4 linked regions of the Mytilus edulis genome follow. The protein of the gene in region 1 interacts with the protein of each later gene in a pairwise test. Links are inferred from orthologs where the notes say so. Each region holds a gene or a part of one and is shown on either strand. Other genes may lie near its edges. The genes, in order: huntingtin-like, transcription elongation regulator 1-like, nucleoporin p58/p45-like and tetratricopeptide repeat protein 23-like.

Region 1 (7,137 bases):
AAACAGATCTTGATAAACTAGCTACATGGGCAACCAAATAGAAAATGGCCTTCCACCCAGACAAGTGCAATGTACTTTATCATCAGCCGGAAAAACAATACCATTACAACATCCTACAAACTACATTGTCACACTTTAGAACCTGTCAAAAGTGCCAAATACCTAGGCTGCACATTCACATCTCAACTGAAATGGAATGTAAATAAGGTCTGCAACAAAGCCAAAAGAACAAGCTGCTTCCTAAAATGAAACTTGAATATCAGATCTAATTCTGTAAAGAAAAATGCCTATAAAACACTAGCAAGACCAATCACAGTCTCGACAGCCAGTCCAGTATGGGATCCATACAATAAAACTGAGATTGACTGACTAGAGATGGTCCAGCCCAAATTATATGTGATGAACAAACATCTTAATCACTCAAGTGTAAGCAAGATTATTAATTATCTTGATTTGAGATTCCTCGAAAAAAGGCAAAAAGATGCAAGACTCGCCATGCTCTTCAAAATTGTAAATGAAAAAGTTGCAGAGACAAAGGAAGATCTTCTGATGCAACCTAAATGATTGTCAAGAAATATGCATGACAGAAGCTTCAAAATTCCATCAGCTACAAGTGATTAATGGAAATATTCTTTCCGCTAAACATCAAAGATTGAGGGGGGATAGGACCTTTATCGGGACTCCAGGATTGGGTGTTTTTAAGCTCGGGATTTCGGGATTGACCCTTTTTGGGATTTCGGGATTTACTTTATTTAAATTCGGGACCTCAGGATTTCGTTTTTTTAAGTCTGGGATTTCGGGATCAGGACCCCTCCTATCCCCTCAAGATTGGAACTCTCTACCTCCTGGGGTTGTATCAGCACCGTCAGTCAAGGCTTTTAAAGCCTCAGTGACAAAGCTGAACTAAATTAAAATAAAATGGGGGGAGGGGGTGGGGCCTGTATGTACAAAAAATTCAGTTAGTTGATTGTGGTCATTATCCGGCAGAAGTAGACGACAACCGTGGAATGAAATAATTTTTTTATCAGAGACAAGTGCCTTAGTCAAAATAATTATGACGTCTTGGAAGGCTTTTTAAAAATGTTGCTTTGACGTAACGCGTCAAAGAAAAAATATCTAATAACCTTTCAAGACATCATAATTAATTGGACTAGAAAACAAGTGCCTATGTCATGGCGGTATCTGGATGATTCGTTCCAACTCCGATTCGTCCCAACAAATTTGTCCCAAGTTGCTTGGACAATTCGTTCCAACTTTTTCCAAAACTTGTCAGTTCGTTCCAACAGTATTAAACAATATTAACCATTTGCATAGCCTTATTATTTTAATTTATAATGCTGTACTTATATATATATAATGTAAATAAATACTTAGTTTTAATAAAAATCTATGATTTATTAATTAGGAAGAAAGGTATATTGGGTATGATATATTGATAAATATTAATTATTAAGTATTTCATGACAATCTAATATTTTAAAAATGAATAAAGTACTAACTAGTGTTATTTTCAAAGAATTCGTTATTATTATAATTGATTATTGTATTTCAATGGATAGGTAGCACCATCTTCCCCATCAGTGCTTGGACTGTTTTTGGCCAACCCATTCGCACTAACAACGACGTCGAAGGCTGGCACAACAGACTAAACCGCAAGGCCAAGGGTGCCAGCCTTCACTTGTATGTGATGCTGAAAGTTCTGAGTGATGAAGCCAGGTACCTACCCATGCAGATCCAATTAGTGTCGGAGCATAAACTCACGCGCTACCAAAGAGCAGCCACAGAGAGATCACAGTCTAAGCTGATGGAGCTGTGGGACAGTTACAGAAGCCAGCAGCTTACAGTAACCCAGCTGATGACATCCGTTGCACTTATCGTAGTGCCGTCCGTTGAACAGTAGAATGAACTTTCTGAAATACTACAAGTCATTTAGACTATTGATCAATTATCCATGAACTTGAACTGTTATTGTTATATTTTGTTATTAGTATATGTGTCAATGACATGATATCAAATAAACATGTAAACCTTAAACTTATTTTTTTTTATTGGAAAAGACATTCAGATTATACCGAAATATGATAAAAGTTGACAAGAAAAGGAGAAAAAAACAAAGACAACCCAAAAAATCTATGTCTAAATAAACAAATATTGTACATATAAATCTGCGTAATTCAACATAAATATTTGTTAAAATCGAACCATAAACGCATCATGAAATTTCATATCGCACATGCAAAAAAGAAGCCATAGATATTACTGAAAAACGATCTTTTAATATGAAAATATTAAATATGATACATAAAAATTGACAAGAAATTGATGATTTTTGCCGTGAACTATAGGTTGATTTACACAAAGACAGTGATATACGGACAGTGTAAGAAAGTTGGAACAAATTGTTAAGACTGATTGAAAAACGATCTATTATATGAAATATACATAAAAAAAATTGACGATTTTTGCCGTGCAGTGGGTTGATTTACACAAATACAGTGATTTACGGACATACACACTATAAAAAAGTTGGAACATATTGTTAAGTCTGATTAATAATAAAATAAATTAGTTGGTACGAATTGACAATTGACTTGGTACGAATTGTCCAAATCTGGAACGAACTGGTTTGGAACGAATCGGACTTGGAACGAATTGACTAGCATTCGTCATGGCTATGCCTATGGTCGTATGGATAAACTCAGGCTATCCACTTGCAACACCTGTTGCTGCCAATGCAAATTAGAATCCAGTGATGATGGTTCATCTGGCAATGTTAAATCGAGCAAACGATGGCATTTTGGTTTCGACAATTGGGGAAAAATATAATATGTCCGTGTGCGTGAAATAATTTATCATGGTCATAAGGCTGGTATGATTACTGATCTTGACAAGAAATGGGTAAAATTTAACCTTTCTTGTTCGGACGTGGATCACCAAAACGTCAGATAAAAGGCTGGGGCTATCGAAAATGTAGGAACAACTGCTGTCATTGTAGCTTTCACTATGTTTTTCTTTCAGTAAGTGGTCAGGTTGATCAATATCTTAGACCGGAAGTTTAATTTTACGGTCACTAATCTATGTATTTTCGACCCAAAATTCAGTTCGTCCTGAATGTGGTTTCGTCCCCGATTTAAGTTCGCCACAAGCATTTTATCCTTACCGAAATGGTTTAGAAAGAATACTACCAAGTATTATTTTATACATGATGGCATTTACAAAAGCATCATTGCTAGTTAACAAATGTCACTTACTCAGATTTTAATAAACAGATTATTTTCATTGAAAAAATTTCACTTAATCTTATCAAATTTATTGATAGTTGAAGTATGCTTTAACCAAGCAGGAATTTGATAGATTTTTTTACATCAAAATTCCCCGATATATTGTCTATTAAGCTTACACAAGTAGAGAAAGTGTCCTTCTAAACTCTCTTTGACAAGACAGACTTTTTGATAGAGGTTATAAATAAGTTGTTGTTCAATGATTCAGATATTTGTTTGGAATCCATGAACATCAATTTGCAGATTCATATTGTGTCTGTATTGGTTAATCTGCTTTAAAATTTTATTGTTTGTTTTTTTCAAAAGAAAAAGATCTTGTATTCCTGTACTGTGTGTGGCATTGCTGCAAGGCATTTTCAATGTCTTTGATATGTATAACATTGTTAAATATTTTCTGTGTTATTTTTTTACCTGTATTTTATTTTCAGATATTTGGTTTTCCTGCACTCAATTGTTATTGGTTAGTTTTATGTATCTTTTGCTGGTCCATTGATCAAGACTTCATTTAATAAGGGAGGGTTGAAATATCAAACCAAAGCCTCAGAAGAAATTGTCATTCCTAGTATGAGGAATAGGTTGACAATTTTGGCAATATTGACTGATGCAAAGTGCTGAACATTTTTGCCAATTACAGTTTCTTTCTTTTTTTTAAGTTTTAGCAACAACAAAACAATACAGGTTGAAAATCTTAAATATAAAATTGTTGTGTAAACAGACACTGCATCATATAGCATAAAAGATGGACGAAAGATTTCAGAGGGAGAGTCAAACTCATAGATAGAAAATAACCTGACAACGCCATGGCTGAAAATAAAAAGACAAACAGACACAACATAGAAAACTAAAGACTAAGCACCATGAACCCAACCAAAAACAGGTGCTCCGGAAGGGTAAGCAGATCCTGCTCCACATGTAGCACCCGTCGTGTTGCTTATGTTATTACAAATCCGGTAAATAGTCTTATTCGGTAGGTCACATTGACATGTTCATATGAAGCCTGATAGCAAATTTCAGGATGCTCTAATCTGTAGATCATGAGAAATCTGTAACAGATATTCATGGGAGGGATGGGCAGACATACAGAAAGGGGAAAAACAGTGTACAACCTCCTTCACAGCAAGGTTTAATAATATACTTCTGAAGATAATGTTGTGCTTGCATGAAGCTTTTCTCATAATGCTTTCATGAAGAAAGATATGCAAATGATATAATTACTAATCACATGTAGCTTATTTTATCTCTATGTGTTGTTCTTCCAAAATGGCTGTGCCCATGTCACTCTATTATAGAACATTGTAATCCTAGGGCTAAAGTAATGTTTGGCCCAGTATTTTAAGAGGGGATTTTTTTTTTTAAATTACTACAATTGATGGCAATAGCTCGCTTGACCTCTTGGGCAAGATAAGCTACATATTTTTATGGCATTATAATGAGCCTTTCAAAAGTGAGGAACCTTGTTAGCAGTATTTTTTTCACATCATAAAGTGTGTTTTTCATTTTAGAGAATAAGATGTTGGAAACAGTTTGATAGCATCTGTTATTCCTAATCTGTATTTACCTTGGGGTGGATTTAGAGTGTATTGACACCAATTTATCTTGTAAGACCAGAACATTTTGTGTTGTTTTTTGTGTTGTGTTGCTGTTTCATTGAAGTTAAGCCCATTCATTCATATTTATTACTGGGCATCACCCTTCATACACATTCCAGCAATCTTGCATAAAAAGTTATTTTTAAGAACATTGTATGTGCCTATTTAAAGTCTCAACTGAATATGATTGCTTACAGGGTATATGATATCTACTTTCTCAAGATTAAGATCTGCTGTGGGAACAAGAATATTGCAAGAATAAATTTCTAGGTCCACAGAATCAAGTGTTCAGTCAGTGGCGGATCCAGAGGGGGGGTTCCAGGGGTTGGAACCCCCCCCCTTTTTTTTTGGCCGATCAATGCATTTGAATGGGGACATATAGTTGGAACCCCCCTTTATCCTGGGTTGGGACCCCCCCCCCTTTTTTTTTAAATGGCTGGATCCGCCCCTGTCAGTATTGAGCAGCAGGTCAAATTGTTAGAATGACCTATTACAAACAGCACATCATTTAAACTCTCCATTTGTTCACAACTTTGTTCCATGTAAAATTTGAGCTAACAAGTGGACAGTGTAGTGAGCTTCTGTGTCATTTGGTCTCTTGTGAAGAGTTGTCTCTTTGGAAATCATACCACATCTTTTTTTTATATTGTGTTAAAATTGTAGAGATGAAAAATAAATTACCATACAAAGGATTAAACCAAAAACTTGCAGCTGTTATAATTATATGACTCTCACGTCACTGAATAGCGCTGTGAGGTGCATGTATAGAAATGAAGACAAATATTAGCTATGATCTTTCATTTATTATGTTGTCAAATGCAGAAAAAAAAAACAATTTGATCATTAACAATAACACAGATTTTTTAGTATTACAATAACACTATAATAATCATTATTTAATAATAATCAAAAAAACATACCTTAATACAGCCTTACACTTATTTATATATCTTTAAGAAGGCAGCTTTAGACAAAGTTCAGTAGTAAATTTGAAGTTTTTTCATGAAAAATAAGAAAGATAGCATGCCCTTGAAAATGCTTTAAACTTTATAATTCAGCTGTATAAAATCAAAATTTGTTTAAATCATAGAAAAAAGTCTTTTCCCTTCAATTGTAAGAAAATTATACAAATTTATGAATTCATCAGAGGATTCATTTCTCAATTTCAATCATTCATACACATTAATTTCAACAAATTTAAGATGAAGCTATGATAGCTTTCCAATGTACATTAAATTATAAAGGTATTTATACAGACAATCTCATATATAGCTTTTTTTGGGTCAAACACATATAAATACACATTGTCAGATGAAAGACTAATTCAATAATAGAAAAAGTACAAAAAAGTAAAAACGTTGACCAGAATTACATCACAATGATTGTTCTTCCAATGCTCCTTTTAAAGCTTCCTTTTCAGTAAGAAAAAACTTCAAAATAAACAGGAATGTGGAATAATGATAATTATATAACATCTAAAAATTGTATGTGTACATTCACCCTCACATTAAGAGGGGTTTTCCCACTACAGGATAATTGTCTGATTATGTTCCCCAAAAATAAAATGAAAATTGAATGTCTGAGTAAGTTTTGAAACTAAAAATCCCAATAACATTTATATTAAATTAAATCTTAAATTAAAATGTGTAAGTATTATATCTTAAAAATTGACAGATCCCTTCCCATGGCCTCAAATTCAATGGCCCCCTTAAAACTATTAAAGTCATGAATCAGTATTACAAATATAACATTTATGATATCAAGCAATCTTTTTCTATTGAAAAAAACATGATTATAAACATCAATCATAAGATTTTCAAGCTTCTGTAGTATAAATATCACTTTCATATTAGGAAAAATTTGTAAAAGTAAACATTTTGAAAATATAATTCTAATAAATAATGACCATATTTATAAATAACTTTTTACATATATAACCATTCACAGGCAAAAAATGAACCATTCTGAACTTCAATATCATTGCACAATGATTATCTGAAGGATCACAAAATTAAGCAGCACTTTGAAATAAATTGAAGATGCCAAAATGTTAGCTTATTATATATTGTCTTCTTATTGCACATGATAATACTTTCATAAATTTCAAATCAGCAATTCCAGTTTAACTATGTTAGATCTATGAATTTATGTTTAAAGAAAAATTGAAAGAAAACTACCAAATTTGATTTTTTTTTTTCAATATCTCCCATGCAACAACTTCAAAAAACTTTGAAAAACAATAATACTATTCATAACAAAACACTTAT
Region 2 (8,184 bases), about 41 Mb from region 1:
TGGTGGTGGCATGGCAAAGTTTGGTGGAGGCATGCCTGGTGGCATCCCAGGAGGAGGCATCATAGGTGGTCGCTAATGAATTGAAAAAACACAAATATTTTCAAGGGTTTTACTGAATTTATCAATTGCAAATTCTTTCATCATGTTCATTATTCTTGATTTTTAATGTTATAATTTCTGTTAACTTGAGTTTTTAAAAAGAAATTAACATTACCGTTACAGTCTGGCCAACATTCAAGTTTACTCTGAGGGACTTTTTGGAAAACTTACCATTCCTTGCATACCAGGTGGTGGTGGCATCCCTGGAGGTGGTGGCATTCCTGGAGGAGGAGGCATACCCTGATAATTCTGAGGTGGTGGTCCACCAGGCCCTCCTGGATGAGGTCCATAATTTGGATCAAATGGAGGTCTTCCAAATGGAGGTGGGCCTCGCATTCCTGGTGGGGGTGGACCCCTCATTCCAGGTGGTGGGGGACCTCTCATTCCAGGTGGTGGTGGGCCTCTCATGCCAGGTGGTGGTGGCCCCCTGTATCCTCTTGGAGGACCTCCTGGTCCTGGTGGACCTCTAAATGGTGGTGGTCCTCTGAAAGACATTCATTTTTTATTAATTACAATGAACAGAATTATCATATTTTAAGAATAAAGACGTCATTAAAAAAAAAGTTCTCAGTCAACAAAAATACTGATCTAGACATAACATAGATTTTTCAACATCAAATTCCAGTTTAGTTTCCTGTCAAAACAATGGCGACAATCACAAATATTTTTTGTAAAACAATGTGTTAGGGACTCAAGGGATACATCCCAGTGACTCACAAGTTTCAAAAGTGACACATTCAGCTGGATTTGTACAAGTCCAGGACAAGTATACACGTCTTAACGAGAACCTTGAGTGAGACTACACATCAGAACTATTTAGAGTAAGATTATTTCTGAATCTTAACTCTAACTGACCCCAATACTTTTAATTGCCTTGCCAAAATATTATTCTTGAAAAGGTGTTAAAGTGTTCTAATCAGACTTCAAGTAATCTGCTACAATAGTACATTATTGACTCAATTTTGTACTATTCAGATCAACACATATACTATTACTAGATTACAACAGGGATCTCCATGGCCTGTTTAAGGCGCCATCTTTCAAATGTCTTGCGTCATTGTCAAATGACTCGCGCCATCGTTCAATTGTCTTCCGCCATCGTTCAAAACTGTGATCGTTTTTATAGCCTGACGCCATTTTTTTTAGCAATTATAATTAAATGCATGAAATTACATAACCCTCAGGTTTTGTTTTTTTTTATAGTATAATCCAATAAAGTTCAAACGCCTGAGGGATATCCGGATTAAGATCGCTAATCACTTGTACCCGAGCTTGTTCAGGTAGATCAACAAACCAGACAGGAGAATATTATCTGAAGATAGACGATTCATTTGTCAAATTATTTAACTAAGTTTCCACAAATGCTTATGATAATTCGGATTAAATAAATAAATTAATAATCCAGTTACAAAGTTTAACAAGTCGACCACGTGCTTTAATTTTGACTTACGCAGCATCCCCCTTTTTAAGAAGTAAAAAATAAGACGTAAAACAGTAATTATTATTTCATCGCAAATAACTCGAGTACTGCTGTATTGTAACGATAATATAGAATTACTTTAAAAGTTAAAGAGTAAAAACTTTTAATATTTCTTGTAAAGAAATATCGTATCGTAATTCCGAATTCATTTCGTAGTTAACAATCAAATTGATACATCCGCGTTTCCGGTTTCTATTCAGACTCAAAAGATGAATGTTGCATAGCATCAATTTGCTAGATAAAGTCAATAAAAACCTTTTCATTTGACAACGTTTGCTTTACAAATCTTTTTAACTTTTACATAACCTGTACGACTCGTTTTGTCGTTGCTGCAAACCAGCCATACCGGTAATGGGTTCATGACTTCTGAATTTGACAGTGTCCGTGAAAAAAAAAGCTCCACATGATTTTTAACCCAAATAACAATTACCAAAAATAGCAAGAAAACTACATGGGGACCTCCGTGATAGCTATTGGTCGTTCTTGACTAAGGGAAAGGGAGGGGGCATGAGGGCTTGGCCTTTGAAGGGTTGAAAACGGCAATTATTGAAAATATGTATATACTTCTATTTAGAATTTATAATGAAAATTCAAATAAATATAATTTAAATAAGCAATGAATTAGCATGTTCACCTATCCTTATATGGAGGGATGAAATACTTCGATTGCGCTACACTGTACGGTGAAGATACGGTTTATGATGGTGAAAGTTCCTCCATCGTTCAATTTTCATCCATGGAGATCCCTGTACTTGGGAGTAAAATTCAAAACTATAAAATGTATGAACATCTGTTGCTTGCGCAAATATTAAGTGGATGCATGTGTAACACAGAATCAAACTTTAAAATTTTCAGGATTTTGGTCATGTGTATAAAGAATTAAAGAACTTCAGTGCATGATTGTCTCCATAGAAAAAAAAAACAGCAAATGATGTGGATTTTAATAAAATTGTGCGTTTTAACGGCTGACTTATAGTGACAGTTGTTCAGGAAAGTTAGCAGATTTATTCTTTTTGTAAATAATAAATAGAGAAAATTTTACAAAAGGGGGAAGTCCATGTCATTTTTGGTGAAAATTTTTGATAATTTTTTATCTCCATTTGTTGCAACATGGATGCGCACATCAAATCAAATTTCAAAGTTCATATTGGACTAAATGATAATATTGTCGCCTACGGAGCAGACAATAGTTTGGCAATTAAAATTATCCATACGCCGGCAACTGGATCAATTTTTAGCAACAAAGATGGCCGACCATACAGAACATAGCTTTCATGCTTCAGTTTTGGTACCTTGGTCCTCTCATATATCCTCTGCCACGCGGAGGGCCGTTATATTGATTTCTGTGAGATCTGAAATCACGATCACCATTGTCTCTAGGCCCATGGTCATGATGATCATGTTCATTTTGTTCATCGTCGCCCATCTTGTCTGGTCGCGTTTTTGTAGGCTAACTGGTTCCGATTTTCCAGTAGGTACCAGACTTGGTAGACTAACATAGGCTAAACTTGTTTCATCCTACGTCGTCGTCCGGTTTTTAAAGGCGTTTCGATCATACACCAAGTAATACTACTTCGGCTTTAGTCACGAGCGACAGTGTTCGAATAACGTCATATTAGAATACTTCTTCGGCTTTGGAATATAAAATATTAATATTGTCACGATTTTGGGACATCTCGGACCAACTAGTAAGACGAGTCGAACCGTCTTCACAATCACACTATTCTCGATATTGTCTCGATGTTAAAATCTAGGTTGAATTCGTCTATAATGCCAGCTCAGACAAATCATATCAAGAGACAGAGCTAATGCATATTTTAAAAGTTAATATGACTGTTTTTCGCCGAATGTAGGACAGAAAGTCACAGGACAAAAAGTCACAGACAAAAAGTCACAGGACAAAAAGTCACAATTCATTTTTTCTGATTATTTTCTTTGAATAAAAAATGCTTATTTTTACAAAAATATTTTTGTATTTTTCTTGATGTATTGTATATTAACCAACTTTGTAAGCAAAATTTATCAAAAAAATATCAAAGATGATCAAATAGTTGTTAAGAAAACAAAATGTCAAAGAAGATTGGCACTCAAATGGCTTCATGGTGCCAAGAAATATGTCTTTTGCATGATTAAAATAAAATAAATCTTCATTTTTCAAGTAAAATGATAAATTCCATTAACTTTAATATGAGTATATGTATTAAAAAGTAAATATTTCAAGATATTTCTCTTATATATTCCAACAGAGACATATAATACAATATTTATATAATTGTATTATATGTCTCTGATTCCAACAATTGTTGAAAAAATATTTGTGACTTTTTGTCCTATCAAATTTGTGACTTTCTGTCCGTTTACCTTTTTCGTCATCTTGGATTGCAAATAACCAATCATCAAGCTAGCAAAATTTTATACAGGAATCAGTGCAGATAACTAATGTGAATTTTCATTAAAACAAGAAATGTGTAAGATTTCAACTTATAATTAATAATATCTTACCAGCGTAGATTATATCGTTTGATTTTTAATGTATTCAAAAATAGGCATTTTAGGGGGAAGTAACTCCGAAAAAGTGCATTTTCTGAAGGAATCTACAAGAAATTTTTCTATTTTATATAACAGGCGAAAAAAAAACGTACCCTGTCTTTTCAATTGATATTCCTTAAATTAAAGTATTTGCTAAAAGCTATCTTCTCGTATTTTATTTTACAACTCTCAGTATCATTTAGTTATCTTCTAATCACATAATGACGTTTTTCCGGCTTTAATCCATACAAAATGTGTCATTCACAACCTGTAGCTTGAGAAAATGCACGGTGAACTATCAGTTTTATTATATTTTTAACATATCACAATATATACTATGTTTTGGCAAAGTATGATCAAACTCTATAATTTTTTATTTATACTCTAATACCACCTTGAATGATTAAATGTAATATATCACAGTCATGATTTAATGCGAAATAGAATTTCTACTTATGATTATGATAAGTTATATTTTAAATCACATCTTCATTAATTCCAAAATCAAACCTCTCAGCGCTTTCGATTTCTGACATGTCGCGTGGGCACACAAAATCTGCAATTCTTTAGCCAAAATCAATAACTTGCTTTTTCCTACCCATTGCAACAAAATCTAAAATAAAAAATATATAATTCGGTAATTTGAAAATGAACTATGAACTGAAGAAAACACCTATTAGTCAGTCTATATACGTGATCGTCATTCTACAGATTCATGCGTACCATGCAAATTTGACCGTCCAAAATCTAAAGTTCATTTCACCAATTCACTCATGAGGGTCTGGATGGGGTGGGATGGGGGGGGGGGGGGGGGGTTCTGTTATTCTGTAAACATTTAATTTTCACCCCTTTTTTCTCTAATCTTTAAAAAAAATAACCCCTTTTTTTCTCTAATCTTAAACAAATTAACCCCATTTTTCTCTAATCTTCATTTTTTTTTGCCCGTTATTCTCTAATCTTCATTTTTAAGGGCATTATTCTTTAATCATTTAACCCCATCCAAACCCTCACTCATCAGTCTCAGGTATTGATAGTAAATGCTATTTGCTGTTAACCACACACGAAAAAAATCAATAAACTGTGACGAGTTTCCCATTACATTTTAACCACACCAAATTCACTATAATCACAGTGCTCTAAAAAGGAACCCCCCCTTTTTTTTTAGACCATTGACAAGCCATTCTTCTAGATCCAGATAAAGGGCCTCCTGTGAAAAGAATGATGTAACTTATGGAAAAGCAAGTCAACTGCGTATTCTCTCTTTCAAAAATACCTCAATGAACTGCTCGATAAACATGATATCATTCTCTTACAAGAACACTGGCTCTTTAACTGCGACAAGGAACTATTAAAACAACATCACTCAGACTTTATTTATTTCATTTTCTATATACACATCGATGATGTTGAACTAATGTCCCCAATTGATAGACCAAGAAAACACAGTGCATGGTATTGCAACCATATACAGAAAATCTATGTCTTCAATTTTTTCTCAACTTCAAGACGGGAACAAGTTCTCAAACAACAGAATACAAGCTATTGAAATGTCAAGTCGGAAATCTTACCTTCCTTATTAGTGTACATCTTCCCTCTAGAGGTACGGATAAAAGACATGATGCTTATAGAGCACCATTTGACACTCTATCAGAAAAAAATCCTTAAGTACCAAGAAATAAACTCATCATAGATACCAATTTAATTAGATTGCATAGATACCGGCAGGAATTAAATTTTGTATTTGCGCCAGACGCGCGTTTCATCTACAAAAGACCCTTCAGTGACGCTCGTATATAAACAAGAGTTTAATCGGCAAAAAAAAAGAAAAGAAAGAAGTTTAGGAGCATTGAAACCAATTCAATTGTTGTTGCGGGGACTGTAACGCCTTGTTCGGTGCGGAATTTTCTCGCTGCATTGAATACCCATTTCGGACCTTCGGCTGTTCTCTAGTCTAAGACTCTTTGGTCGGGTTGTTGTCTCTTTGTCACATTCCCCAACTCCATTTCAATTTTATCTATTGAGAATGATGCAAGACTATAAGGAAATTTATTCAGGATCATAAGTGTAGGTCAAAACACCTATGACCATTGTCCTGTGTCTGTCAATCTTTATATAGACACAAGGACTTGCCAGAAACAGTACAGAGAAAATACTTGTACCAAAATCCACTGGGAACAACGGTAAATAAAGATAGTATACACTAAGTATTGAGTGCTAACCAAAGGATAAAAAATATTTAAACATGAGAAGACCTTATGGAATTGACCAAACTACAATCCAATTACTTCCCGGTTCGAACAGTGCACTAGAAACATGTTAGCTTATTAGCGTGAGAGGAAATCAAAGCAGGAAAAAACGGATAAGTTGGTCACCAAAATTGGCTCATGCGGTCAGGTAATAAAAAAAAAGCTTTTAACCCTGGAAATAAATCAGGATCACCTGAACATCTTACATGCGGAGGTTTAGCTTTAATTGACTACTTGCCTCATTAACCATCTTCTATATACAAAATATGTGCCTGATGCTATAAAAATGGGACGTCTATCTCCGGTCCATAAAAAAGATAAGGACCAACAGTGCCTTCAAATTATAGAGGAATTGCAGTCATCTCGATCATTTGTAAATTTTTAGAACTCTGTCAGAGAGGTGGGACTGACGGCATTTAAACAAACAACAAAATAGACGACAAAAAGGTTTTGCAAAAGGTGCTTCATCGATAAATTTGCTTTTTAATTGCTGAAGCCATCAATGAGATAAAAGATATAAGTACAAAAGGCTCATTTTAATCCTCCTAGATGCAGAAAAAAGCCTTCCATGTCGTAGATCACATCTTTTTCGAAATTACTTCACCAAGGAATCACAGGTTCAACCTGAATACTGATCAGAGAACTATATAATAATACATCAAACCAAGTAAAATCTTACGGGTGTATCTCAGAAGAATTCAATAACTAGAAACGAGTAAACAGGGAGGTATTTACAGAGCTTACACTAAGATTTCTAGATACTATCGAAGCAACAAATAGGTTTTAAGATCAGAACCATTTATTTGTGTTGTCCAACATGCGCAAATGATATCATGCTATGTGCAACATTGGAACAAGATGCATCAGCTCAACTCAGCATCGTTGAAAGTTGTACCAAAAATTGAGGCTGAGCGAGTTAAGATCAATAGAAAAAAGACTGAAATACTGTTGATCAACAAAAGAACTACCTCACGGCCGGCACTCGGCTAACCGAGAGATTGGTCGGTTAATCTATATTGAGTATGCGGTTTTGAGTATAAGGACAGTAGAGAGTAATGTATTGCTAAAAAAGAGAGAACAAATAAAAACTTTAAGAATACAGACACGAAACACCCCTGGGTGTTGAAACAGTAACGGATTGCGATGTACTCAAATTGATGACTAATGCTAGAAGTATACAAGCGGACAACTGCAGTTCTCCTTTGCACTTATGTAGGTAGAAAGGAACTAAACGGAATAAAATGAATTAAAACTTAAGATAACCAAATGTAGCTGCATACGCTCATTTCCATTTACTTCTTTAGAATGATTTGTAAACAACATATGATTTAGTAATAGAAAAAAAAACCAATTGGATGATGCTGACGAATTAGGGTTTAACGTCCAGTGACAAATGTCATGTGCATATGAGAACGACAACACGTTATATGTATCCTGTGTTGTATTAAAAAGACACTTTCAGTCGGATTGTAGAACGTGCTACTTTGAACAGACACACAAATTAAGGCTGATTGAAAAATGTTAATAATAATTTTCAATCCATATCACGCTATATTGAAGTGACACACCCTTCAATAAAATGCAAAGAAAGTCAAAATAAAAAATGCTCTTACTAGAAGGATACTGTTGCACCATATCGTCTTTTTTTTACTCAGTCAAGTACATCTCATTCTTAACTTTTTCAGTGGGGAAATATAAAGATAGCAAAACTATTATCGTGGCTATAAAATAACTCTTAACTGACACAATTTTTATTGTCCAACCCATTAACAGACTTTATTCCCCTATTTTTCACTAAAACGTGGTATTATTCACGTTATATTACAATTA
Region 3 (7,566 bases), on another chromosome or scaffold:
TAGGGGCATAACCCTACCAATGAGTCGTTGAATCTTTTCGATCCAAATGTAACGAAGAACCGGGGTCTGGTCCTGAACAAATTTCACCCTTTGTTTCTTTTCTACCTATTACGGTTACGGTGTTGGAACGATAACAATGGTTTTGGGTTTCGGAGGGATTACTCCGAACCGACAAAATATTTCGACTCACAGGGTGAGTTCAGGATAGGTATTCATGACACCGATACAAAGTGTGAATATGAAAGCGACACATCTTACGGTTAACGCGGATAAATTTGTCAAAGTTTGGCGGAACAAAAAGAATAATTAAACTGTCAATTGTTCTTGAACAATTGAGAGGTCTTTCCTTTTTTAATGTAAAATACATGTTCCAACAGACGTAGAATGTATTGAAAAGGTCAAGGTCAACCTTAAAAAGCTCGAAAACACACTAAAAATCCTTTATATAAGGTTAAAAACACTAAATTCGCTATCTGGTACATGACCTTGACCTTTGACCTTTTGACCTTTGTCAAGGTCATTGGTCCCCAATGCCATTACTGAAGACCTTAAGGGTCTAGGACCTTTGGTTATATAGTAAAAGCTGATTTTGTCTTTTCAAAAACCTAAAACAGGGGTTATGCCCCTTATAGAAAGGTCAAATCTCTTTGGTCAAAATGTAACAAAGTTGCGCCATAATGACCCAAACATTTTCCACCATTTAAAACTTCTGTAAGTATAATGGTTTTTGAGATTATCCCATAACAAGGTGTTAGGTCAAAGGTCAAGGTCAACATACAAATATGACCTTGAGGTATTTTTTAAAGATACATGAAATGATGATGATTGGTGAAGATCCTATGTGTCTACGACTTACGGTTTCTGAGTTTTGGTGGCCAACCGACACCGGTTAATTTTCATAGGGGCATAACCCTACCAATGAGTCGTTGAATCTTTTCGATCCAAATGTAACGAAGAACCGGGGTCTGGTCCTGAACAAATTTCACCCTTCATTTTTTTTCTACCTATTACGGTTACGGTGTTGGAACGATAACAAGGTTTTTGGGTTTCGGAGGGATTACTCCGAACCGACAAAATATTTCGACTCACAGGGTGAGTTCCGGATAGGTATTCATGACACCGATACAAAGTGTGAACATGAAAGCGACACGTCTTACGGTTACGGAGGGAAATTTTGTCAAAGTTTGGCGGAACAAGAAGAATAATAATCAGAAGAAATACAGTAAGGTCTTTCCCTTTAGTAAAAGGAAAGACCTTAATAATAGTCAGAAGAAATACAGTAAGGTCTTTCCCTTTAGTAAAAGGAAAGACCTTAATTAAAAAGTTATACAATGAAACATACTGACCTTGCAATGATTTTCTCGATAACACCTGATTAACAGACTTTAGCCAACCCGATTAACAGACCAACCGCCGATATAGCCGCATACTCAATATAGATTAACCGACCAAACTCTCGGTTAGCCGAGTGTCGGCCGTGAACAGGGACTTGTAATAAAGTCCATGTTGACAACGAGGGTCGATCGAGAACAAATATTTACGACTAAAGAGATAGTTTCAGCTTTCTACCACTTGAACTTTCCATTTCTATGTAGCAACATCGCAGCAGCGCTGCCATATGAGTTATCGGTATATATCTGATTCTCCCAGTTGAAACGATAGTCCAGAGCTTACATTTCGTGTTAAATTTTCTTGATAGAGGGTTCCTGTCTGCCCTCAACGAAGCTTTTAAACCAAGAGTTCTAAGTGAAGTTGAAATCATACAGAGTTTCGAAAACTTTAGAACACCATCACACATCCGATCAAAATTATGGAATATCTGAATTACAGATAACAACAGAAATGTTCCAATTGTCATTATAATCTCATCTTATTTTCCTCGAATATAATCTTTGCATTCGTAAATTGCAACCTCAGCTTATCAACAGATTATCAAAAGATTATCGTCATTGCGAGCATTAAAGCCAACGTCCTAAAGTGTGCCTCACTATAAATCAGGACAAAGCTGGGCCAATGATTTTCGTTTATTGTTTTTGTATAAATTAGACTAGAGATTTTCTTCTTAAGAGTTTTTTTTTCGTATGTCATATGTTGAGAGCCTTTTATCGATAACCTTATGTAAACGGGTTTGTATGAGGCGCGGAGTATAAAGTCAAAACTATTTCTATTAGAAAAATGTATGGCTAAATATTTCAAGACATTTTGACATCAATTTTTAAAGGAATTCTTGACATCGTTTCAAAGATATCCCCCTTAAATCGAATTATGGAGGTCCTGAAATATTTAAAGATATCCTAAAATCGAATAGTGAACCTCGTGAATCATTTCTGGAGTTTCATACTGTTGTAGTCTTTTTTCACTGAAATTCTTAATAAAAATGAATGAATGTATTTTACAAATTCCCTGAATTTAATCAGTGAATCTGTAAAAAAGATCTTAATTATTTCAGTGATTTTGTAAAATCATTAGTCAAAATCAGGGATTTTATAAAATCATTAATCAGTTCAGTGATTTTACAAATTCCCTGAAATTTCAGGGATTTTACAAAATCACTGATTTCACAAATTCCCTGTAACATATACATACATCAATTTTGATTAAAACCGTCCCTCAAGTCTCATAGTTTTGCTCATTGATATGAAGCTAGGGACATCTTATATATGTTATAAGTTGTTAAACATTCTTTGTTTTAGATAAATCAGGTGCTTTTTGTGGTCCTTTTGAAGTTTCGATTAGTTGACAGTTTTTACTTTTCAACTCTTTCCACTACACTTCCACACAATCTTATCAAACAAAGGTTTTCCTATTTAGTTACAAATATATTTGCTTCAACTCAGCAAAATGAATTGAGTGTGTAGGTAAAGATAATATCATTGGTTATATATATATTGTGTGCTTGCTAGCTGAGCCGTGAAGTCCGTGGCATTATTAGGTTATGTATACTACCCTCCTTTATGATTAGTCTAGTCCGACAGGTAACTAATATATCTGTCTGTAAGACTAGACTACTCCGAAAGGAGCTAGGCAGAATACTATAGTAGCTAACTTTATAATAAGTTTACGGTTCAGTTAACAAGCAAGCTAGCCAAATGTATACCCTTTACCTACACACTCAAATCATTTTGCTGTAAAGCCTTCTTTTCTTTGCATTTTTGCACCTGTCCCAATTTAGGAGCCTCTGTTAGTCTTAGTTCATTTATATGTTTTGGAGTTTAGTGTGACGTCCATTTTCACTGACCTAGTATGCACAATTTTATTTAGGGGCTAGATGAGGATTACCTCCGAGTGCGGTATTTTCTTGCTGCGTTTAAGACCCATTGGTTGCCTTCGGCTGATGTCTGCTCTTTGGTCGGGTCGTTGTCTCTGATATTAACCCATTTCCATTCTCAATTTTATTCCCTAATGAGAAAGGTAAATATGTTAGATATACTTATTGGGTGTGTGATTAGATTGTAGCTGACAATTTTTCCATGCAAATATTAATGTACGTTTCGGCATCAAAGGTTACATATCGACGAGTTGGTAGGTATTCCTATGGGGACCAATGGCGCCCCTAATATCAGACTTGTACTGCCATGAATCACAGTTTATGACCAGTCTAACTTGCATTTAATTGATATATATTCAACAACACTTACGGTTATCTTGATGTGTTTTCTAAATATACGGCTGAAATTTACCCAAAGGAAATAACTTTCACTTGAAATAAATAAAATATAAACGGTTAAAACTGTCCTTACCTGGATTTTAGATATGTTCGTTCTACACGGGAAACTATACACTAAAATTTACGACAAGAGGGATGATTTTTTTGGGTCCTTTTTGTCAACTTTCATTGACAATTCTTCCATAAAATGCAAGCAATTTTTTTTCAATATAGAAATAATTTAAAAAAGAATTTACGGAAACTACTAAATACAATACAATACACAATACAATACAATACAATACAATACAATACAATACAATGCAATACAATACAATGCAATGCAATGCAATGCAATACAATGCAATGCATTAATGCAATGCAATGCAATGCAATGCAATGCAATGCAATGCAATACAATACAATACAATACAATACAATACAATACAATACAATACAATACAATACAATACAATACAATACAATACAATACAATACAATACAATACAATACAATACAATACAATACAATACAATACAATACAATACAATACAATACAATACAATACAATACAATACAATACAATACAATACAATACAATACATGCTAAACATGAAAAAGACAAACAGACAAACAATAGTACACATGACACAACATATAAAACTAAAGAATAAGCAACACGAACTCCACCATAAACTGGGGGTGATCTCAGGTGTAAAATGTATTCTGTATTCTGTAAAATGTTGCACAATATTCCGGAAAAGTATCCCAACTTATCCTGGTTTCATCTAATATTACTATTGTTACTAGTTCCCTGTCCAAAATTTTCAATAATACCTTGCTCAACGAAAGTGTCGATTAATTAAGGAATCAGTCGACAGAATTTCGAAAGGCATGAGATGAGAAAAATAATATAATTTTGGTGGGAAATTCTGTAGTGATTGTATGATCTGAAGATATTAGAAATATATAAGAAGTTATATATATGCAGTCCATATCTTTGCAACCTAAATAATTGGAAAGTTTACTTGTGTATGTACATGTAGTTCGTGCTAGCAAAAATTTATCCAGCTTTCGTTTTTAGCTGTGCAACTTTTACAGGCACTTGTTTCTATCCATAAATTTGGAAGACCCACTACCAACGTATATTTAGCGAGTAAATCACAACTTTCCCGAGATTGTATAAGGAAACAATTGAATGATAATATAATTTCTGTGTATAGTATTTTGGTAATGTCTGGCATGTAAATAAGTTCTGTCCATGCACTTACATTTATCTCTGGGTAGATCACAAGATCTGTTGCTGTGTTTAAAAGAAAAGAATCCTTACACCTCTGGAGCACCCAACATCATACCCCGCCCCTGTGTTCATGGTGTTTGGTTGGATTTGTGTTGTCCAGTCTTTAGTTTTCTGTGAACTGTTGTATCTCTTTGTTGTTTTTCATTTTATGTCATGGCATTGTCAGTTTGTTTACTACTTTGAGTTTGAATGCACATTTCAGTATCTTCAACATCTCTTACAAATGAAACAACAATCAGAAATTAACTTTTTTCGTTCTCCTTAATTATTAATAAAAATATTTAATTCTTCAAACTAGACAAAGTTTGGGATAAGAATATTATATTTAATTACATGAGATGAAAAATCATGTACATGTATACATGAAATTTTATCTGCAAATTTGACAATTTTAGAAAACTAATACACCTTATCACTTTTCAGAATGACCATAAAATCTGTCTTGCTTGAACTATTGACATCTTACAACAATCACTTTTCCATTGTGGCGTCAGATATTTTGTATTAGCCTAGCACGTCAAAATTTTACGTGAACCAGAGGGATGTCCGGTATTGGAGGACAAATAGCGATAAGGTGTATTTGAATCCATAACTTCGAACAACTGAATAGATTTCGATGTAACATTCAAATAGTTATACATGTCACATGAATAAAATTATTTTTATATTTATCTGATTTTTTTTTTGGTGGTTTCCCATTGCATATCATGCATATTGTGGAATTTGAATTAGCAGGCACAGAAGAATGATCAAAATTGTAGTATGAATTATGAGCTCTGCTTTCAGTTTTTGTCTCACCTGGAACAGAAATAGAAACCTTAAAGTGAGGATTACAATTAGACAGTGAGGACAGCATACACTATAAACCTTCATGTCTTGTATGCAGATGCCTTATGTTACAAAGTTTGTGTATATATCCTATGTCCTTGACCTCATTTTCATTGTTAAGTGACTGTCATGTGAATTTCTTACTTATCATGAGTAAAAGGAAAACTATATTTGGTATGGTTTCCTTGCAAGGTCTACATGTCAGTTAGTCCACCTGCCCCCTTCTTTATTCAACCCCTCAAATATCAAATTAAGTTTTTCGTGGTCACATCCATATCCCAATCAGATACTGTAAGCAATAGATCAGCAAATTTTATATGGAATGATTGTAAAACATGTCTGACTGGCAGGTTTCATTTGACCTTGACCTCATTTTAATGCTTCTTTAGTCTATGTTATTTTTTATGATTTGGTTTATTTACTAGAAACTACATTTATAAGCTATTATATATCACCTATATTTAGTATAGATAATGATTGAATAATTGTAAGGTGTATACTGTATGTTCAACTGACAGGGTTCATTTGACCGTGACCTCATTTTTATGGTGCATGCCATTGCACTCAAAGCTAGGTCTTGTATTTTGGTCTGTTTTTTTCAAGTACTATACTCAATAGGACACCAATATTTGGTTATATTTTAATTGATTGTCAGGTGTACATATCTGTCATAGAGAGTTCACCTGACCTTGACCTTAGTTTCATGGTTCATTAGTCAACTGCATTTGGTGTATAGAAGGATTGCATGGTGAACATGGTGTCTGGTACGTTTCATCTGACCTTGATCTCATTTCCATTTGTAATGTTCATGCAAAACTTTTATAAATTCGTTCAATATCAATTCGTTTGTGATAAGTAAAACAGGCTAGATATTGCAGCATTGTTCACTCTTGTTCTTGTTTTTTTAAAGAGGTCTGAAAGAAGTTTGACTTTAGTATTAACATGATTAACATTCATGTCATTAGCCATTAATTAAATGAGTGACTAACAGTTGTATATGCATGCAATGAGAAGATGAGAAACATTAATGTTGAAAATATAATGTTGTCTTTATTACAGGTAAATTCCAGACATGGCTAACCAACCAGGTATATTATTTTAATATTATTTAAAAAAAGAAATATACTGGTAAAATATTTTTGACATGACAAAGAATTGAAAAGTCATAAACATGATATTGCTGAAAAAAATAAGTACATTGTATCTGACAGTGTGAAAACTACAAAAGTTGCTTCAGTTTTTGTCTCGATAAATTCATTGACAAAGTCAGACTAAAGTTGCTGTTTCCAGCATCATCGGCAATGTGTTAGTTTGAAGTTTAATCATGTTGATTTTAATTGTCAGAATTGTGAAATCGCCATTACCAAAAATGACTAGTCCTTGAATTCATTAGAAAAATTCTTATTGAGAATTCGAACCCCATTTCCTTAAAATGTATTATTAATAGTAAAATAGGAAAAGAAAATATGGTATGATTGACAATGAAACAGCTCTTCAAAATAGACCAAATTTAAATGAAACAGGAATGATCAACTGCATGTCTAGGTCAATGTTTTGTCCAGTTCAATTTAACTAAAACGAAAGCCTATGATGTAGGGTTCAGACTCTACGAAACAATTGTATATCAAGTTAGTGTGATGAATTCTTTTCGTGGACAAGGGAGTCACAAATTAAAATTATAAAAGAAATATGATGTTATAGAATACTGTGGATTTATTATTATTTGTTGGATACCAATTTTCGTGGGTTTCATTGGTACAGGTGAACCATCAATTTAAATGTTAAACCAATA
Region 4 (7,876 bases), on another chromosome or scaffold:
AATATATCAGTGGCCACATTTTCTAGAAGTATGTCATCTGCAAACATTTCACTGATCATTTAAATGCATATTGTACAACACCTGAATCTTAAATAACCAATTGATCCAACTTTAATTTTAGTTCTTTAATATGTTTATGAGTTTAGTGTGACTTGAACTTTTCACTGAAAATTTGTGTTAAGCATGTTTAGGGGCCACCTAAGGCCCACCTCCATGTATGGAATTTTCTCACTGTATTGAAGACAGATTAGTGGCCATAGGCTATTTTTTGTTCCTTTGTCGGGTTGTTGTCTCGCAGACACATTCCTCAATATTATTTTAGAATATACATATTTTCAAATATATAAGTTTCAAATTCCTTGTATTATTTTTTTTACAATTAAAAATATATATAAAAGTGTAAATAAAAATATGATATTACAGATAAAGTTAATCTTAAATAATAATTTTACCATCTCCATATTTTGACGAGATCATCTATTCCCCCTGTTATAATGTTCTCAGATCCATCTGTTTCATTTTTCTTCCAAGCACAACTCCAAATACTGTCTTCATGTGCTATAAAATAACAAAATTATTATAAGCATCATTGAAGGTGGTTACGGTGGTACCCAACACTTTGACTGTTATTAATTTGGTTCATTTAATTTTCATAAAGTGTTGACAAAATGTTAACTTTGACCCCTTGACAAAAATATAAAAATTTTAAAAAATTTGAACTAACCACTTTATCAGAAAAAAATCAGTTTATGTAGCAGTTTGACAAACACTATTTTTCATCACTGAGAAGCTTAATATTTCCTTAACCAGGTTAACAATAAAATGTTGAACTCATTTTTACTGAGTTATCTCCCTGTAGTGTTAGGTACCATCTTAAATTCAATTGTTAACATTTACCATGATTTTTGTCAGATAATTGGAATCCTTTGGTTTTATCCATTTTGTTCCATTACAAACTTTGTCTGCTAAAACCTACTTCTCGTTTCTTTACTTTATAGCATATATCACGACGTATATACTTAGTTTAAAATCTTATAAAATCCTTGTGTTCTTTTCATACAGTTTTTTGAAAGAGAAAAGGTGTTTTAAAATTAAATGAATGATAATACTAGAGATAATCATTTTCCACCAACTTTTCATGGCTTACATGTATATCTTAAAAATATGCATACAGACCTTAATTTTTTTCTGTTTTTTAGTTCTGATTTATATATTTGTGTTGCTTAATCTTCAGTTTTCTATTTTGTGTCTTGTGTAGTGTGTACTAACTACTTATCTGTTTGCCTTTTTTCTTTATTAGCCATGGCGTTGTCAGTTTATTTTTGATTTATGAGTTTGACTGTCTCTTTGGTATCTTTCGACGCTCTTTTATCATGTTTATAAATATATATGTACTCAGATTTTATAGAAGTCTTTTGAAACATTGTACTTAATGAAATTCATTAGTGATAGAAAGTTATATCTGATTTGTGAATTAACAATGATTAAACTCACCTTGTTCCTGTTTGAATATCAGGGAATACTACAAAGATTAAAAATAATTAGGTTAACAGGAAATATTATTTTATCATGTTTTTAGGTCAAATGTCATGTGCTCAATTTTGTTTAAATATCCAACTTTTGATGGTTGGTGTGAATGCCAGTGAAAAACCAGAGAGCTACGTTTTAAATTGTTACAGTAAACATGGTAAAATATAAATCAACACAAATTTATCTAATTCATTCAAGGTAATGTTATTAATCTTGAGCCTATTAAACCTGCTGTATATTTTATAATACTTAAGTCTTTTGTTGGTGTGGTTCATAGGTGTTTTGCTTTCCTTGTTCTGTATATAGATAAGACAGCTGGTTTTGTGTTGACATTGTTTTACAGTCAACGACAGTGGTCATTTTGGTGACCTTTATAGCTTTCTGTTTATTGTATATATATATGCATGATATGTGAGCATAAGTGTTTTGTTCAACATGTTCAAACTTCAAGGTAGTAGTTTGACCTGTAATTTTTAATTTAAAATACATTGGCACTCTAACCACACCTTCTTATTTTTTATCATTACAAAAATGTGGACTTTTTTCAAGTAATCCGAACCATGATTTCTGATTCTAACATGCTAACGGGCTACAAATATATGCTATTCCATCTGCTTTGCTTTGTTATATTTCATTGCATTTCGGTATATTTTGTTTTGATTCCATTTCTCACTTTATAAATATCGGGAAAAATCATCTAAACATTTTAACATGTTTAATAAAATAAAAAAATCTCTTTCAACATGTTCAAAGACCAAATGAAAAAAAAAGAGTTTGGCTTTATGACTTTGCAGGTAGGCGTCAAAGCAAATATTAAAATAGTCTTTATTACAAGACGTCATAATTATTTGGACTAGTAAACTAGGGTATTAAAACTTGTGGAACTCATGTACACAATGACATTGTCAATGTGCTGAAAACGCTTTTAAAAAAAAAACTTTAATAGGCCAGTTCCCGGGATACAGTTTTCAGACGAATCTGTCATGTGACTTTCATCACCACCTGACAAAAATGTATGCATAGAAATTTCCAGCACATGTTGAGCAAACGGGTGAAAAAGTCTTATTTTATATTGCACAAAATATTTGGGAAATTAAAATCTAAAAGGATGGTCACCCTCACTCAATCCTATGGCAATCACGATTTATATGTACTTACAGAACATTAATTATTTCTATACTACCCTACAGAATGACGATTATGAAAGTGCTGGAAACTTTTTATAGACAGGGATGCAGGCGCGCCTTCTATCTGCAGACTACGCGAATGAATTTTATTTTTACAGGACATTCGGTCTGGTAAGCATCCTAGCTTTACCAGACCGAATGAAATTTTACCAGACCAATTTTTTTTTACATCTAATTGTATATTATCCGACAAAAAACAACAAACATATGACTTTGTTGTGCCGGCCTACTCCTCACCAAAATGCACAAATTAAAACAAAATGATGTAACAAGAGGGGATATTGTTATGAAAGTTGTGCACAATTGCTTGAATGCATTTCAGTGAAGAGTAATGTCCCATTTTATTGGATTTTGACAATGTTTGTGAACTAAACATAATTTAGAGTTTCTGTATAAAATATTATTTTTTGTTTCTTCTTTCTTTTTCATATATCTTTTGGTTTTCAATTCTTGTGGTTATATTTCATAGCTAAATTTTGTGATCTGCTTGGATTTTTATTCATTTATTGTATTTAAATCGGCAAACCCGGAATTATCCTTATCCGTTCCCAGAATCTGATCCGGTTTTATTTGCATTTCCGGTTGTGCCAATGATGGCATCCATTGTTGTTTTTGACAGTCAGATATGTTTTTACCCGGATTTACACATTACTGGTTGTCGATGTTCGGCATAAAGCTAGCGGTTGAACAAAATAAACATCGCTGTGATGAATAATAAAGATGAAAATGAATTTGAGATTGTTTGGCAATTTTGCTAGAATGTTCCATGAAAAAAAAACACCGGACATTCGGACCGGAATTCAACAAAATTTTACCAGACCGATCCATTATTTACCGGATTTGTCCGACGGTCCAACGTATTTCGTGTAGTCTGTATCTGGTAAATGACGTCATAAAGGCATGCAAAATTGACGATCTTTTCCGGTGGAAGACATGATTCCAGAAATGACCTGTATGTGGGTCTCATTGGGGTTTAAGCATGATATTATTCTAGAGTGATTTTCTGATTTATCAATTACTTTGTTCTTTTTTTATCGTGTTTATTAACAGCCACACCAGCTGTTCTCCACAAATTCATCTAACTCATTATTAGCCTATGTACATAGTTTTAATCACCTTTTTAAAAAAGTTAAATTACGCACCTCAAATTTATTTCCATATATTTTTGTCTTTGTCTTTGTAAATATATATATAGGCCACGCTGCGCGCGCAAACAGTAAATAATCTTCAGATCATTGAAGGACTACTGAAAACCTAAAGAAGAAGAAGCCACTGACACTGTGGATGATGTGGAGCCTGGAGGAGAGAAAAAGAGTAATGACACTATGTCAACAGTAAGGATCTGAGTAACAGTCACTTAACTGATTCATCCGGTGTGTAGTTAAAAGCAATATACGAATGATCTTTAATTGTCTATAATATAAAAGCAATTTCTTTTCCTTACCAACTGATTCGCCATCCCGTTGCCGGTGGCTGTGTAGTCAATAGAATGTTTTGTTTCCCATTCGGTTTTACTGTTAGATTAAACGCGCACCTGTCTAAGATAAAAATTTATAGTCTCTAACAAAATATTGTTTTGTTAAATTCTTGATTTGATCTGTTAAATTACATTTATATAACAGTTATTACTATAAAATTATTATTAAATAAAATATGATATATTTCTCTTTAAAAATATATACATCTATAAAATATTTATAAATTTTTTAATTTGGTTTCAAGACTGTTTACAAATGGCGACCGTAGATGTAAACAAATCAACAAAACTATAGACATAAACCTTTTTTTTCTGTCCAATACATTATATTGTACGTTATCGTTTACAATCATTAGTATTCATACACAAGTAGCACTTTATTCAGGAACAATTATCATTAATAGTTTCCTTTGACCAGATGTCGATTTAACCAGGGTCCGATTTGACTATAGCTAGCTTTGTGTATTTTACTATTTAACCCCTTCTACACTAGAAATACACGCAGCACGTTCTAGTTCGGCTCTGTTATGAATACGGGATCTGCTCAGACTCCTGTCGTCCTGAGTCCCGTACAATTAATCAAGATACCTTGGCACCAATAAAATGGGTGCCAGGCAATTCAGCATCAGCAAAAGACCTCATGGGCTAAATACCAGAGAAAGACAATTTGGTATCAAGACAAATCGGCACCGCATAACACTTCTGTTAGTCCGAGATTACTCTGAAGTCCAACAGACAAGATGGGCCTTGGAAGTCGGGCCTGTCCCATATTTTATCAAAAAGTGGATATTCGCACATCCAACATAGATGTGCTGCTTCATCGCTTCTGGTCCCGGCTAAAGGACTTGGAATTATATTATTATAAATCAAGTATCAATTTGTTCATTCTTCAGTTATCTCTTCGTTTATGTAAGTTTCATCTTCCTACCAACCTTTATTTTCTCATATTTAGACAGTTCTCACAGCAACCCATCGATTCAGACATTTTTACTTTTATTTTCAAATGGATGTCAAGTGATGAGAGACTTCACTGTCTCAAGACTGAAGTATGCAAATATTTATGCTAATTTTGGTATTCTGTATATTTCTTCACCCCCTTTATAGGAGATCGGTATTAAACACTTATAGTAGCCAACATTGATAACAATTGGAAGAACTCGGACATTTACCTTACTTGCATTGTAAATGAACGAGGTGTCAGATTATGTACATGTATTCATATCAACCTAGGGTCAATTGCATAAATCAGCTCCCATAACCCATTGTTCCTTACTTTTTCTCTTTAATCACATGACAATCTTTCAAAATGAAAGTTAAAATGCCTGAATCGATGGGTCACTGTAAAAACTGTCTAAATACACGTATGAGAAAATAAAGGGTGGCAGGTAGAAGAAATATTCATAAATGAAGAAGGAACAAATTGATACCTGATTTATATAATTCCAAGTTGGTTAGTCGGCACCAAAAGTGATGAAGCAGCGCCTCTACTTTGGACGGGCAAATATCCACTTTTTAATATGGGACGAGTTCTGACGTCCCCAAGCCCAGCTTGTCTGGCCAAATATAGCATTTGGACATCAGAGTAATCTTGGATTACACTTCGGTTTATATTCCACTATGAGGGTCGTAATGACCTTCATGACAAATGATGGTTTAAAATTTTTATAATACTAATAGTTGGTATCAGCTATTGAAGGGACAACCAACTTGCTATTATTACCAGTCTTTAGGTGTTTTATTATACAAAATAAATAAACTTTCTAAAATTCAACGTTCATAATCTAAAAGAAAACTAAAATGTCAAATAAACATGCCCAAAATTAACTATAATTTATTTTTAAAGTCTGTGTTGCATTTGTAAATATTTCATTTACTACAATCAAGACTAGGAATACTTGAGTTAAGATTTCTGTGCAGCTCATAAATTGTAGCTAAATAAGGCTAAAGTACATCAAACACAACAGTTTATAAAGACGTCGACAAACCCATATACATTTATTATATTTTAGATCTTTTAAAAATGTGTCCCGAAGATTTTCTTTCTCTTTTAAATTTGCTTCTGGTTAGTAATATCATGAATATGTTAATTTGAAATTACGACAGACACAAGCAGCAGTCAGTACCCCTGACTGAACAGATTATACCATTTACGATATATTAGAGTTTGACATTGCCAAGCGTACAAACCCATGCAGAATAGTTTATGACATCATTATTGTCCAATGAAAAATAAGTAAGGGAAATATAATTATAAAACTATTAACCAGGGTAATAGTTTTTGAAACCATTGACTAGCAAATAGTCTATGGAATGAAATAACACATCTTTTTCATTCTTTTTTATATAAACATACTGATCGACAATGATCGAGGTACATGTATAATAATAATTTTTGTTGCATGACAATAAAATGTACACTTTCTTTTTAAGACAATGTTCATTATGTGAGAACTCTGACAATATATATCTCAATACTAAAAAAGGATAATCTGATGAATCACATTAAATTTTGTAACTATTTGCCGAAATTGACCGTTTGTTCCTACAAAAAAGCACAGATTTTAGTAGCCCACACCATTTTTTAGGGAATATTGGCTAAAGGGTTCCTGCTTATTTCAAACCCTTCCTTCTCCTTTTAATTTCTAACTAAATATTAATTTGGAAATTTTAGAAAGTTAATTAGCAACATGCATTCAGAAGATTCTGATGACGATATGAATGTAGGAGCTCCCATGATGGTGGAGGTCAAAGGTCATAGTAGAACACCACGGCAACATTCACAAAGGTCACTTCACAGAGATTCAGATTCAGATGAAGAGAACAGGTGAGTGCATGTATCTAAAATTAGTAATTTAGATAAAAATGTGCAGCACTACAGAATTCATGAATTTAATAAGATTTGGAATGGAAATGGGGAATGTGCCAAAGAGACAACAACCCGACCAAAGAGCAGATAACAGCCGAAGGCAACAAAGGGGTCTTCACTGCAGCTAGAGTATCCTGCACCCTGATGCATGCTTTAGCTATTACAAAAATATATCGATGTAATATATATGCTTAATATCCAAGATGATGTTTCAATTGTCAAGAAAATTACATAACTTTTGTAAGGTGCAGAAATCTAACATCTGTTCTAAAAATATAAATGATGTCATTGAATTTGTTAAAGTCATCTTTTAAGAATTGGAGTTATCTTCCTTTGTCTAGAATTGCTATTAAATCAACTACAACCAATACAATAATTAATTGTACTTCCATATCATCAGCATATGATAAATTGAAACAATCTTTTCCAGTCAGTGCCACCAAGCACTTTGATTAATTTTTACAAATTATTCTCCAGATATGAAGATGACTATGAGGATGATATGACCACAGCTAGATCAGGGAGGACAACAAGTAGAAAGAAAAAGCCTGGGAAGAATGGTCGTCATGGGATAGATATGACACCACCTGACAAACTTCTCAAACAGGCAGTTAAAAGGATTGGAAAATTCAGAGAAAATGAAAAAGTATTAATTATTTTGATTAAATTTCTGCCAAAAAAATGCTTCATTAATATCTACTGTATATTCAGAATGTATTGTGTGCATTTATTATGGCGATTTTATCATTTTAGACTAAGATTTTAAATTTTGCGATATTCAGAAAAATCCTTTTGATACATATAAAAATTTCAGAA

What was found.
Region 2: the proteins of huntingtin-like (region 1) and transcription elongation regulator 1-like interact in binary tests that used the Homo sapiens proteins (3 or more experiments, as listed by UniProt). The link is inferred for Mytilus edulis from reciprocal best matches to the Homo sapiens genes HTT and TCERG1.
Region 3: the proteins of huntingtin-like (region 1) and nucleoporin p58/p45-like interact in binary tests that used the Homo sapiens proteins (3 or more experiments, as listed by UniProt). The link is inferred for Mytilus edulis from reciprocal best matches to the Homo sapiens genes HTT and NUP58.
Region 4: the proteins of huntingtin-like (region 1) and tetratricopeptide repeat protein 23-like interact in binary tests that used the Homo sapiens proteins (3 or more experiments, as listed by UniProt). The link is inferred for Mytilus edulis from reciprocal best matches to the Homo sapiens genes HTT and TTC23.

The regions. Positions count from the first base shown.
Region 1 is NC_092347.1:34,306,291-34,313,427, forward strand, and holds the start of huntingtin-like, read right to left. Parts: upstream 3,073-7,137; 5' UTR 2,911-3,072; intron 1-2,910. Other genes in the region: peptide-N(4)-(N-acetyl-beta-glucosaminyl)asparagine amidase-like, read right to left, coding at 7,134-7,137.
Region 2 is NC_092347.1:74,834,915-74,843,098, forward strand, and holds the start of transcription elongation regulator 1-like, read right to left. Parts: upstream 3,069-8,184; 5' UTR 3,006-3,068; coding exon 2,872-3,005; intron 584-2,871; coding exon 271-583; intron 73-270; coding exon 1-72. UniProt on the Homo sapiens protein: Transcription factor that binds RNA polymerase II and inhibits the elongation of transcripts from target promoters. Regulates transcription elongation in a TATA box-dependent manner.
Region 3 is NC_092351.1:34,502,758-34,510,323, forward strand, and holds the start of nucleoporin p58/p45-like, read left to right. Parts: upstream 1-4,460; 5' UTR 4,461-4,678; intron 4,679-6,833; 5' UTR 6,834-6,846; coding exon 6,847-6,862; intron 6,863-7,566. UniProt on the Homo sapiens protein: Component of the nuclear pore complex, a complex required for the trafficking across the nuclear membrane.
Region 4 is NC_092354.1:39,864,230-39,872,105, reverse strand, and holds the start of tetratricopeptide repeat protein 23-like, read left to right. Parts: upstream 1-4,780; 5' UTR 4,781-4,797; coding exon 4,798-4,898; intron 4,899-6,865; coding exon 6,866-7,018; intron 7,019-7,537; coding exon 7,538-7,706; intron 7,707-7,876. Other genes in the region: superkiller complex protein 8-like, read right to left, coding at 453-558, 1,495-1,522, 4,162-4,176. UniProt on the Homo sapiens protein: Participates positively in the ciliary Hedgehog (Hh) signaling.